Linked DNA regions of Caenorhabditis elegans. The protein of the gene in region 2 purifies or fractionates together with the protein of the main gene of each other region. This does not show direct contact. Each region holds a gene or a part of one and is shown on either strand. Other genes may lie near its edges.

Region 1 (4,372 bases), on a different chromosome or scaffold from region 2:
ACTTTTTAAAAACTATCTGGACACCATCTTACTCGCTTCTACGAGATTCTTTTAAAAACGAACATTTTCTCAATCTTCTGCTCCTGTTGTTTAGGAAATCTTTACACTGCACACAGAAAAAAATCCCTTAATCTTTTCAGTGTCCCAACCAAGAACTGACTACACCCTAAATAGTTTATTAAAGGCAGAGTACTCGGATGATGTGCTCCACGATTGATCAGACTTAAACGTCTCAGGACATACACCTTCGCTCGTCGTATACAAAGCCGAAGCCAATCAGAAGGTACCGCACAGCACATTTTCCATCGAGAACTCTGTCTGGACTTATAAGTTTTCGCTCGTTCTTTTTTGTTTTGACCTACCGCGTACTCGCGCGCAATCTCATTTTGATAACCCGTCGTCACCGCCCCATCAGGCCCCGCCCTATTCCAGCTAGAATAAGAGCCGAAGTTTTCTTCATTTTTGACCTTTTCACTTTATCCTTTTTGTTTTGTCTTTTTGTATCGCTCCCCTGTTACATGAATTGTTAGAATTTTGTTAGTATCGATATAAATATTCATTACTGCGCAGACAAAGAAAAAATGCAAAGCAGAGGAACTGGTGGAAGAACCTAACAGATGAAGCAGGTACAGTGAAAACTTAAAGTTTGCAATAAATGTGCAGCACGTTCATGCACAAATTTTATAATTCATTTTATTTTGGAGTCATGTAACAGTTAGATATATTTTTCAAGATTAATAAATTTAAACGCTCTTCTGATGTTTATAAAATAAAATGGTCTTTCAGGCTCACAACGCGAAAAGAAGAGCAAATGCTGAGCAAGATCGTTTGGAGCTTGCTGAAGCCGCAGCTATCGAGCCGCAGCTATCTTTACAATAAATTTGTTGTGCGTGCATGCGAAAATTTTATAATTTAAGGATGCCGAGCCAGCAAAGGAGAATGATTCTGATGAGGAAGAAGTTTCCGACGAGGAGAGCGCGATCACTGACGAGACTTCTGTATACTGGTGGAATCGTGACGATCCCTACTACTCGGATGATGATTCAGCACCTCTTCAAATTATTTATGTGCAATGAGGTGGCACACACAATCAAATTTTTTTTTGATAGTGTAGCTTGTAGCTCGAAGAAACGACATTCTAGTCTATGATACTTCTATATCACATATCACTCCTCCATCACTTCTCGCTTATTTTATTCCACTGCATCCCTTTTCATTTTGTCCCAGTTTTTATGATTAAACCCTCCCTGTGAATTTTTAACCTTGAAAACCTAAACTCGTTTAAAATTGCATATGATTAAGATTCTGATATGTTTTTTAGTGCATTTTCCTTGTAAAATAAATATATTTCCAGCAAATCGGTTATAAATGTTCATTTTTTTCCCACTGAAAATCTTGTCTACCTGCCTGCGAGGCGACATACGTGTCGTCTGAGATACGTTCTTCTATTATATTAAATAAATCCTCAAATATTTATAAGTTTATTGCAAAAAACGACTACTGTGGAAACCCCAAGTATACGGAGATCACGGTAAAAATTTGGAAGGCATAAAATGGGCACGAAGAAATTTCTGCCTTCTATTGAAACCTGAACGGTTTTATTTACAAGAGGTTTACAAATTTGAGAATCCACAAACACAATGTTTCAAAAACAAATTCAATTTATTTATATATAGGTACAGTAACCTAGAAACCAGTTTGATTCTCAAAATTTGATGGACTCTCGAGAACAGCAAACTACATATAATACTCTCGTTTTGGATCAATAGTGTAAAAGAAAAGAGAAAAGGAGAGGGGGGTGTCACCCCCCTTGCCCCCCCCCTGTCTCTTCCTACTCTTTCTCTAACATTCTTTTCCTCTTCTCTCTATCTACACCCCCCCCCCCATCTCTTCATTCATACCAACCCTTTCCCTCGTTTTTCTTACAAATATCGATTCAGATATATTTATATACTCGTCGATTTAATGTTAATTTTCTAATCAACTTCCAAATTTCAGTATTCGTCATGGAATCCGACGGACTTGAGGAGTTTGATTTCTCGCAGCCACTTCATTATGCGCTCTCCCAACTGAATGCAGATCTCTATGCAGGAATTGAGCAGGAACCCCATTTTGAGACTGTTCACTTTCCCAAACCAGCATCTTTATCTGCAATGGCAGAGGAGGATGATGACGAACGGCCACCGACTACAAATGAGATTATTGATGATCTCGTGGAAAAGTTTGATAATTATCCAAAAATCGTGACTACTATGATGCAGAGAGGTTTGCTCAAAAAACGGCAACAGTGCAGAAAGTGTGATCGAATGATGCATTTGAGAAGGAGAAAGAATTGCTATGAGGTTGGAGATTTTTATACTATATTTAAAATTGATCAGTCAGCTTTACCTACGTGTCTAAAAAGCAGACTTAACTTGTCTTGATTGTCACCTACGCCTAGAAGAAATGTAGAGTAGGCAGCGCAAAATGCCTTGTAGGCATGCATTTTTGAGCCTCTAGTGAAGATTTTAATTTCTAATTGTTGTTCTTTTTTTCAGTGGCGCTGCCGAACAAAGGATAAGAGAGGGGACTGCTCGTCTTGCTCAATAAAATTTGGAAGTTGGTTCGAGTATACCAAGTTATCCTTCAAAACTATTTTCAGTTTTTTGATCATGCACTGTAAAAAGTAAGTTAAAGCTGGTTTTTATTTTATATTTGTGCAAAAGTGAGAAATAAAACTCTGACCAATCAGAATAGTAGGACATGTGCCTTGTTGATTAGTTGGTGGTTTTTTTTCTCATTTCGCGAAAATTCAAAGTCAATAAAAACAATGTTGAATAAAGTTAGATTATAATTAAATTTTGAATAAAACTCAACTTTGAAAACATTGTAGTTGAAAGCTTGAATAATTTTTAACAATTTAATTGAAAAAATATTTAAAAAGTTTCAACACGTATCTTGGTATCAAAAAGTTCAATTAATTTTTCAGCTGTTCCACAAGTCACATGGCCAATGAGCTCAAATTATCAACGCATACAGTGAATGAAACTCGGAAAGTTGTCTATGATCTGACAGATAAAATCGCATCAAAGTATCCCAGAATTGGACAAAATCAGGGAATGGTGTACATAGAAGTGATTCGAATTGAGCCAAAAAAGGCAAACGACTTCATGTACACCATTTTGGCAGGTGAGTATGAGTTTTTAAAACATCTCAAAGATCCCCTACTCTTTCGTCACAGCCTTGGTTGAGTACGTTGCCTTTCATTTAAGAACTCTTTGTAGGCACGTTGGTAGGCATGTTGTTCTTGCTCGTATACATTAAAACTGTAACAATTGTTTCAGGTCAAGAAGCAAACTCCAACAACTGTTTCGCTGTTGTGATGTCTGATGAGATGCCAAGTACAATTGAAAAAGTTAAAATGGAAAAAGTCAATTCACATTCATCAGTTTCAATGATCAAGACTGTTAATGAAAATTTCACCGCTTATGCAAGGTTGGTAACATCTTTAAATTTCTATTCTTTAAATTTTCTTCTTTTTTTCAGTCAAAGCGCAACATTCTTCGACGAGTCAAAAGTCTATTCAAACCCAAGTGATATGTTCTTCACAAATCTTCGCAAAAATCATCCGGAAAGTGCACTCAATTCTGAGCAAGCATTCCAAAGTTGGTTCAATGATCAAGTGGTGAGAAAAACCGAAGGAAAGCGAATGCTCGAAAAATGTGTGGAGGAGCTCAGGACATACACGACATCATAATTTAATTTTATTACGGGGGGAATTTATTTTTGAAATGGTTATGTATAACCATGTACGATCTTACGTGTATTTATCTCACTGGAACGAAGCGAATAAATTACAATTTAATGCTAATAATTTACAAATTTAAGAACAAAACAATTAAAACAGTCCTAGGAAGTTGTTGTTGATGGCAAGAATTGCTGTAATTAAATTAAAAATTAGAATTATACTTTGATTCTTTTCTAATAGAAAAAGTGAGCTTTTAGGTAAAGTTTACCTGCAATAAAGAGCATTGAGACTGTAGCAAAGCTGGAACTCTTGTTCAAATCGGTTAAGCACCACTGGAAAAGTTAACATGATTAAATTCAAAAACAAAAAAAAAACAATACCTGATCGATTGGTTGATCTGGCTTGATAGTATTGGCAAAGTTTCTGAGAATATCTAAATCACAGTATGAACTATTTTGAGGACATCCTTGAATTCCCATAGTCACATCTTTGAATCCACTTCCGTCTTGCTCGTGATATACCATTTTGAAGTATGGTTTCTTGTCGACACTATCAATGTAAAGCTCTAAAAGGACTGCAGCAGAATACAATGGATATCCACCAGACGGTTTTACAGCGTATTCTTCAATTAGAAGTGCGGAGAAG
Region 2 (5,059 bases):
TGGACTCATTTTGTTCACTGTTCAAGAGTTCGACACAGCTTTGAAGTACTTGCAATCGGCTGATGCTATCACAAAAACTATTGGAGAACCGAGAAAGCTGAAGACTGGATTGATTTCCAATTTGATTGCCCGAACACATGCGGCTCGTGGAGATTTCCGAGCTGCTCTAGTTGCTGAAAAGGAAACATTCGCTATTTATTCCGAACTCTATGGACCAAATCACCCAAGAGTCAACGAATCGAGTGAATATCTTCGCACGCTTACTCAACAAGCTGTTACATTCCAAAAGAAAATGTTGAAACTTGACAATAGTACAAACATTACTGAATTGTTCCAGGTAATATTAAATTTTCACAATAGCAAAAAAATCGCAATATTTTTATAGGCTCAACCTCCAACAGTTACCTCTCTATTTGATACCTTAAACATCATCAACGGAATACTGATCATTGGTGTTCCTGGATTGTCTTCTCTCGGAAAACAGCAAAATGGGACGACTGAAGAGAGCAAGACTACAGATGTTGCTGCTCAGCTTGACAATGAGACTCTCGATTAGAATTGATTAGATATCACCCAATTTTTTGGAAGTTGTTTATCAAATTTCAAAAAATTTAGAATTACTTGTTCGTTGATTATTTTAGTTTTTAATAGTGTATAGCATATAGATCAGTTTTTGTTTCTTTTTGTTTTGTTTTTTTAGGTGTAGATATCAGTTTAGTAAATAACTTTTTTTTTGTTAGAAAACCGTGACCGCATTTTCGTTGCTTTTTTGAAATAATTATATGAGATAATTGCACCGTTTCTTTCTCTGATAACCAAAAACATTTGCTCAATTCCAAAAATCAGCCTGAAATTTTCAAATTTGCTCAGGAGCATTTCCCTCATTTCCCACAACTTAATCAATCACATGTTCCCGTTTTCATTGTCTTCTCCATCTATCTGTAACCCATTTCCTTCATACATGTTATGACTGTCGTTCTGACACGAGTGTCCATCGAAAAACTAATCATTTAAAAAATATACATCTCTGATAATCCGAGTACACTCCATCTTTTGTTACACTGATGCGTTTGTTCTCCTCGTTACCTGTTTTTTTGCCTTAGGATTCAAAGCCTTGTAGTTTAGTATGAATTTTCGTTTTTTTTTAAATTTTCCAATCAACTGTTATAAAATGTTTATTGTTTTGTTCTTTCTCCAATAATAAAATCTGAAAATCTATTTTTTGTTTCAGTTCTAAAATTTTCAGAAAACTTAAAGTTTCATTCTTTAAATATTTTGAAATATCTTGTGAACAAAAATATGAATTTGTTAATCAAGAGTATCGCTTTTTCCAATTTGTCAGAAAAAAAATATATAACTTCCATTATTTAAGAAAAAAAGTTGCAAAAACTGAAAATTGTGTCCATTTTATTTTTTTAGCAGTAGAAAATTATATTTTCTTGTTTTTGCATTTTTTTTGTTAAATGTTTTAAACCATAAAAAATTTTATCCGATTTTGTTCATGTTGATGAACAAAAAAATTATAAAAATGTAATTGTCCTCTAAAAATGAGAGACTTTAAAGCTTTTTCTCTCTTATAATTAAATTTGTTTTTCATAGAATGGCGAGTGATTGGAGACGACAATCAACGAGTAGAGGAATTCCGAATGAGGGACAAAATGATGAAAAAGGAAAACCGCTCATTGTGAGAGAATATTTAAAGTAAAAAAAACAAAATTATGAATTTCAGGGAAGATCATTTCTGCTCGAAATTGAAAATCGTATTCTACGAACAAACGTGGCAGAAGGATTACATATTTCTGGTGCTACAATAATTGATTCATTTGATGATGCTTCCCCACAATGTGTCATCTCCGATCACCCGATGGCTCAAAAATTAGAAAAAGCAAAGAAAGATGACCCTCTTTTTAAAAATGAAAAGGTACACTTTTACTGGTAAAATTAAAAATAAATAAATTAATCAAATTTCAGATGCTCAAAATAATGCCCGCACTTCTTCGACAAGCAGTGAACAGAAATATTAAAGTAAGAAAATCGCCAAAAAACCCAAAAAAATTAAAAATTTGGTTGACAAATTTGAAAATTACTGTTCTTTCAGAAATTAACAGCAAAAAATTATATAAATTAAGTGGGCAAACAAATTTCTCAAAAAAATGGAATAAGACAAGTTGTTTGATGAGACATATTGGAAATAACGCTTTTTTTCAAAAAAAAAAAATCATAAAATAAAATGTTCAATTTTTAGCAACTAAAAAACTAAATTTTGAAATTTTTCGACTTCCCCCTAATTCTTTAAATTTTCCAATATTTTCAGGTCAGAACACCGGAAAGATTTTTAAATCAAATGAATACATGGCTGGATCGCCAAGGAAAAACGACATCAGCAACTACATCAAATAGTACAATTCGTGGAAAACCATCATTCGGCCGGGAGAATAGTGCAAAAATTGAACGAACGACTCCGAGACTTGTGCCAAGAATGCCACGTGTCAGCAGTGATCAGACGTCGAGTCGGCCGAAGGAAGAACGATGTTTTCTAAGAATTGATGTTCCTGGAAAAAGACCAGAAATTCGGAATGTCTCGAAAGAATCATTTTCAATTGTTTATTCTGGAAGAGACACAGGATTTTCAATTTTTAAAGCAGCAGAATCGTCACTTGTGGAAAGAAGGTATTTAGTAAATTGTTTTTCTTCTATTTATATGTAAATGCAATTATTTCAGGCAACGAGAATACGATTCATTTTTGAAGGGAAAATATGAGCCATCTAAGAAGACTTTCAAATTTGATGAACGAGATAATTATTGTCAGTTCTGCCAAAAAACGATTCTTGGAGACAGGAAAGATGTAAGAATAGAGAAATTCGAAATTTTGAGGAGATTTTATAAAATCGAAATATTCAGAAATTCAGAAATTCCACAAGAGAGAAAAAAAACAAAAAATCGTGAATTTATAGAAAATTGAACATTTAAAACTTGATTTTTCAGCACGAAAGAACCGATGAACATCGCAATAAGGCTCGAACTCAAGGAATTACTCAAACAATGGAAAGAATTGTTTTGAATGCTCGATTACGAGCCGAACGTCAGGAAGCGGCTTTGAAAAGAAATCAAAGAAAATCACGAGAAAGTGTGATGTTTGTAGAAAAGTCGAAACGAGCAAATGTCGAGTACGAATATGGAGAAAATGAAATTAAAGCGAATTGGCTTATGCTGAAAGCAAATACAGTGGAAAAGACGACTGAGAAAACATCGAGTAAGATTATTTTATTTTCTTGAAGAAAAATTGCTACAATTGATTCAATTAGGGTAATAATGGCAAACTCCGTGATAACAAATATGATCAAAATCTTTACGAGGTTTGCATTGTGAAGGAACTTTACATCCTTTTCCAGTACTTTGTGCCATTATTTCATTGATAAAGAGCATTGAAATAAGAACAACCAACATCTGAAATTGATTTAATAATAAGAACTATTTTTTATAGATTAAGGCTAATGTTTTTTAACTCAAAATTACCAGAAAAAAATCGGATTTCATAACGAAACTTGAAAAATTTCTCAAAAATTTTTATTGCGTTCAAAATTTCGAAAATATGTTAATTTTAGCTAAAATTCCGGATTTTCTTTTTTTGTGTTACAATGGCCGGGAATTTTTTTATACATTTATTATTGTTCTATTTGCACATTTTTCGATTTTTAGTTCCTTTCGGTATAATTAAATCCGAAAGGTATTCAAATTTAAAAATTCTAAATTAACAAAAATATTGTGAGACATTTAAAAAAAATTAAATTAAAAAAAAAACCTAAATTCCGGCTGCTGCGACACGGAAAGATTGTCCAAAATTGATGTTTTAGCTAGAATTAGGACGTTTTTTTTTTCGAAATTTTAAATTAACCTTTTGGGGTCACCTTTAGGTAAAATAATTTTTTTAAACTTACGAAAGATACAATTCTCATTATTGCCAAGTTGAAGTTTTCAAGTGAATAATTTGAAAATATTGAACATTTCCTCTGAATTTATACCATCCATAATCACATGTTTTATGTCTTAGGCGCACTGAAAAACATGAAATAAATCATAAGGAACTTCCTCATTCTCTCAGTCAACCTTTAGTTAATTGAATAAATTGGCCTTAATTCGAGTGTTTGTTTTGATATATATGTTTTGAATAACTAAAAGTAAAAGATACAAAGATCACAAATTCCAGTTCTTTCTCCACGTCGACGACAGAAAAGAATGCGGTCACTTTCAAGTCAAGGAGACATTTAATTTGTCATATAACATTCTCATTATTACTATTCGATCTCTTAAAATGTGTATTATCTCACTACAATATGTAACTGTATATTTGTATCAATTCTAGTACTGGTTATTCGTTTATTTCTCCCCGATTTTATAATACTTATTTATTTTACGGTTATTTAACTTTCAGCCCAATTTTTTGTTTCATTTGCATTTTAACTTCGGTTTTAACAGGTGCATAAATATTTATTTCTGAATTTATATAGGCTCGATGCATTCAGATAGAAATTTGATTAGGCAATTAGTGAACATGGAGAGATGAGATCGTAAAATTGTAGAAATAAATAAATACGGGGGATATGGGACAACGGGGCAAGGATAGGCGACAATTCTACAAAAATTACTTATTGCGCCATGTTTTTCCAACATTATCTAAAAAAAACAATAATTTCTGCTAAAAAGTTACCAAAAAGGGCCTGAAAATTCTCGATTGCGGATTACCGAATTAACGAGTTTTGTTTTCCGGCAATTGGCAACTTTTAGGCCATTTTTTATCAGTTTTTAGATGAAATTATTGTAAATTCCAGATAAATCATGTGATTCTCTATAGTGCGACACAAATTTTTGATGAAAATGTTGGAACAACATGGTGCAATAGGTAATTTTGTAGAATCGCCACCCATTCCTGGTCACTGGGAGCAAGGGTGTCGTCGAAAAATTTTCGATTTTCCGAAAACAAAATGTTCAAAAAACTAAACAGACATTAAAAAATTATTCGAAAAAATGAAAATTTTAGATTTTTCGACACCCAGAAGA
Region 3 (2,850 bases), 1.1 Mb from region 2:
TAGCGCCGACAGCCGAATGAGTGTTTCGGCTGTCGGCTGGCGCCGCCAGCCGAAAATGCTCTATTTCTCGGCAGTCGGCTGGCGCTGCCAGCCGACTGAGCTTTATGGTTGGAGTTTTGTCGCTGAACTGTATTTTTGCACGTTGTTTTCTTAAAGTGTTTCGGAGCGATTAAGCATACTTTTAGTACAAAAACAATTATAGCAAACTATTTAATCACTTTATCCAACAAAAATAACCACATCGGCTTACTTTTTCCATATATAAAACTTGCAACTAGTGTTCAAAAATATCAAAAATCAGTTAATTTGTTTAAAACCGCCAGCCGAAAACTCTAACACAAAGGTCGTCTGTCGGCTGGTGCTACCAGCCAAAAAAGTCCAATTTTTCGGCTGTCGGCTGGCTGCGCCAGCCGACAGCCGCACGTACCTGGTAGGGACTACAAATTTTGAATAAAATAATAGTTCCGAAAAATCAAGCTTTCTTAAAATCTTTCTAACTTTACTCAATTTTCTCTCTAGACTATTAATTTCCAGATTCCACAATGAACGAACCCAACAATCGATTTGTTGGATCAAGACCAGCGACATCAGGATCATTCAATAAAGAAGGAACTCCGACAACTCCAGTATGTTTCTGTGACAGCTTTTATAAACAGGCAAAAGAAAACATTTCAGAATCTATTTTCATTGTCTAATTCGGAAGAGCGAATTTCTCAATTCACACTGCCAAACTATGTAGAACAGCCAACTTCATCGATAAATCAACAAACTGGAAGGTACAGTTTTTGGTTTTCAATAGACTTTGGAAATTATTTTTTCTTGTTTCAGAGTGGTGAAAAAAGCTCAAGGAGAGGTTGACCTGAGTGGAGAAGAGCTTATGCCATTTCTATATAAAGCTGCTGAAAGGCTCCGAGAGATGAAGGATAAACAGGTTTTAAATAAATAAATTAAATGAATATATACAAATCATCTACTTTCAGACAAAAGCTGAAGGCATTAAGTTAAGATTTGGCTCTCTGGCAAAATTAATCAGTGAAGAAAAATTATCAGATGAACTTATAAAAAGTCTGAATTATGTAGTTGATTGTAAGAATACACAAGATTATTTTCAAATTAATAAATTATTTTTCAGCTCTTGAATTTGAGAAATATCAAGAAGCGATGAACTACTATGATCAATTTTGCAAGAAAATTCCAAATGAAATAGCAAAAAGTTGGTATTGGCTGTCATCTCTCAAAATGTTGATAAATGAATTAAATGTTTCGAGGAGAGGCGGATCTGCTGGATCACATCTTAGGAGCTTATAGAACATTTATTCGTTTGTCTTTTAAATTTATGTAAATAATGCCATTTTCCACTAATTATTTCCCAAATTCCTCAACTTGTTGCCGTATTTAACTTTTATTTCGAATATTTTAGGCCAGAAAGGGTATTTGTTATTTCGCATGGTTTCTCAGAACAATAATAAATGTGAATCAGGTTTCAATCATATTTCGAACTTTATTTGATCTATGTTTTACATCAACTTTTAGTTTCTTTGGCAAAATTCCAAAATATTTCCAACGACGCTCCGAAGTAACGACAGCGCGCTCTCTTTATCGTAAATCTACATCTCTGTTTTATTCATTTTTGCTCCGAATATGTATTTTCGGTGATTTCTTTTAGATTACTGTGTTTTTCTTGTTAATTTTGTCTAAATTTACTGATTTTATGGTTTTAGATGCAATTATCCCGCGCTCTATATCGAAATCTCAACACACGTCATTGGAATCGTCGTATTTGGGAGGTCGGATACCGAGGACCGATTCTTCCTCAACAAAAAGCGTATGTTCTTAATGAATTTTAATAATTTCAAATCGAAAACTTGATTTTCAGCACCGGACGTCCAGACTATCCAGTTTCCGCAAATCGCGTCAATATTCTACGGGAGAGGCTTGCCAGAGAGCAAATTGTGATGAATCTTCTCACTCGCCCGTATTCGACAGCGGTTAGTTATATTGATAGTTAAATATCACTAATAATTTAAATTATAGTATGCAGAACTGACGTATCTGGAAACTGAAAAGAATGTGAAATCGTTGGAAGAACTGCGAGCAAAAGAATACAAAAAGCTTGATGAACAGCGAATGCCCGGAAAACCAAAAAATACGGAAGGTTCCAAGTCGACTATCAGGAAGAAAGCTAATGTTGGAAATCTTCTTCATACCCACACAACTGTTGAAGATTCTTTAGCTGGATTGGCGGCAAGAAAACGATGGGACTGAGCGAATCTTTTAATTGTTGTAATTATAGTTTTGTTGTAGTGAACAATAAAAACCTTTAAAATTGTTATATTAAAACAAAAAAAACAAAAATGAAAACAAGAATAAACAATTAACCTACACACTCTAGTATCTAAATATTTAAAAACACTATCTCTTAAGAACATTTAGGAACGCTTCTTTAGGAATCTGCACATTTCCAACCATTTTCATCCGCTCTTTTCCTTTCTTCTGATGACTGAGTTTCTTATTGAGTCGTTCCATTCCTCCACCACCAAAGTTTCCCTTCAATAGCTGCGAGAAGTCTCGTTTCATTGGCTGGATAACAATTTGAGATAATGCTTTCGTTGAGGAACCAATGCAAGCTTTAATTGTAACTTCAAATTGCTGTCGTGGAATTTCTCGTTTCAGACGTTGAACTAAGATCTTTGCACGATCTCTCGCCATTGCCGCTGGTATGATTTGCGAGAATTCACTGACCTTAAATTAAATTTTAATGATAAAATTTTAAAACAAAACCAATTCCCACCTCTTTACTGTTGATAAGAATTGTAAGTTTCACCAGCCGAGTATCCTGCCATCCATCGG

What was found. The genes of interacting proteins can lie anywhere in the genome.
Region 1: the proteins of F55H2.7 (region 2) and EGAP2.1 fractionate together in Caenorhabditis elegans (co-fractionation; one large-scale study listed by BioGRID). This does not show direct contact.
Region 3: the proteins of F55H2.7 (region 2) and ZK1236.5 fractionate together in Caenorhabditis elegans (co-fractionation; one large-scale study listed by BioGRID). This does not show direct contact.

The regions. Positions count from the first base shown.
Region 1 is NC_003280.10:5,229,426-5,233,797, forward strand, and holds EGAP2.1 (DDE_Tnp_ISL3 domain-containing protein), read left to right. Parts: upstream 1-1,985; 5' UTR 1,986-2,006; coding exon 2,007-2,342; intron 2,343-2,537; coding exon 2,538-2,665; intron 2,666-2,968; coding exon 2,969-3,168; intron 3,169-3,323; coding exon 3,324-3,474; intron 3,475-3,525; coding exon 3,526-3,736; 3' UTR 3,737-3,850; downstream 3,851-4,372. Other genes in the region: EGAP2.2 (Ribosome biogenesis GTPase RsgA), read left to right, coding at 618-626, 787-879; pho-1 (Intestinal acid phosphatase), read right to left, coding at 3,878-3,918, 3,996-4,059, 4,108-4,372.
Region 2 is NC_003281.10:9,512,789-9,517,847, reverse strand, and holds F55H2.7 (uncharacterized protein), read left to right. Parts: upstream 1-1,599; 5' UTR 1,600-1,600; coding exon 1,601-1,684; intron 1,685-1,729; coding exon 1,730-1,921; intron 1,922-1,971; coding exon 1,972-2,025; intron 2,026-2,314; coding exon 2,315-2,670; intron 2,671-2,722; coding exon 2,723-2,846; intron 2,847-2,986; coding exon 2,987-3,254; intron 3,255-3,259; exon of another isoform or gene 3,260-3,298; coding exon of another isoform or gene 3,299-3,448; intron 3,449-3,939; coding exon of another isoform or gene 3,940-3,957; exon of another isoform or gene 3,958-3,979; intron 3,980-4,208; coding exon 4,209-4,270; 3' UTR 4,271-4,504; downstream 4,505-5,059. Other genes in the region: clu-1 (Clustered mitochondria protein homolog), read left to right, coding at 1-337, 386-556; F55H2.8 (FIP (Fungus-Induced Protein) Related), read right to left, coding at 3,299-3,448, 3,940-3,957.
Region 3 is NC_003281.10:8,431,086-8,433,935, reverse strand, and holds ZK1236.5 (uncharacterized protein), read left to right. Parts: upstream 1-1,721; coding exon 1,722-1,825; intron 1,826-1,876; coding exon 1,877-1,988; intron 1,989-2,034; coding exon 2,035-2,265; 3' UTR 2,266-2,328; downstream 2,329-2,850. Other genes in the region: ZK1236.9 (TPR_REGION domain-containing protein), read left to right, coding at 535-626, 676-776, 829-931, 981-1,086, 1,133-1,308; ZK1236.1 (Translation factor GUF1 homolog, mitochondrial), read right to left, coding at 2,413-2,742, 2,792-2,850.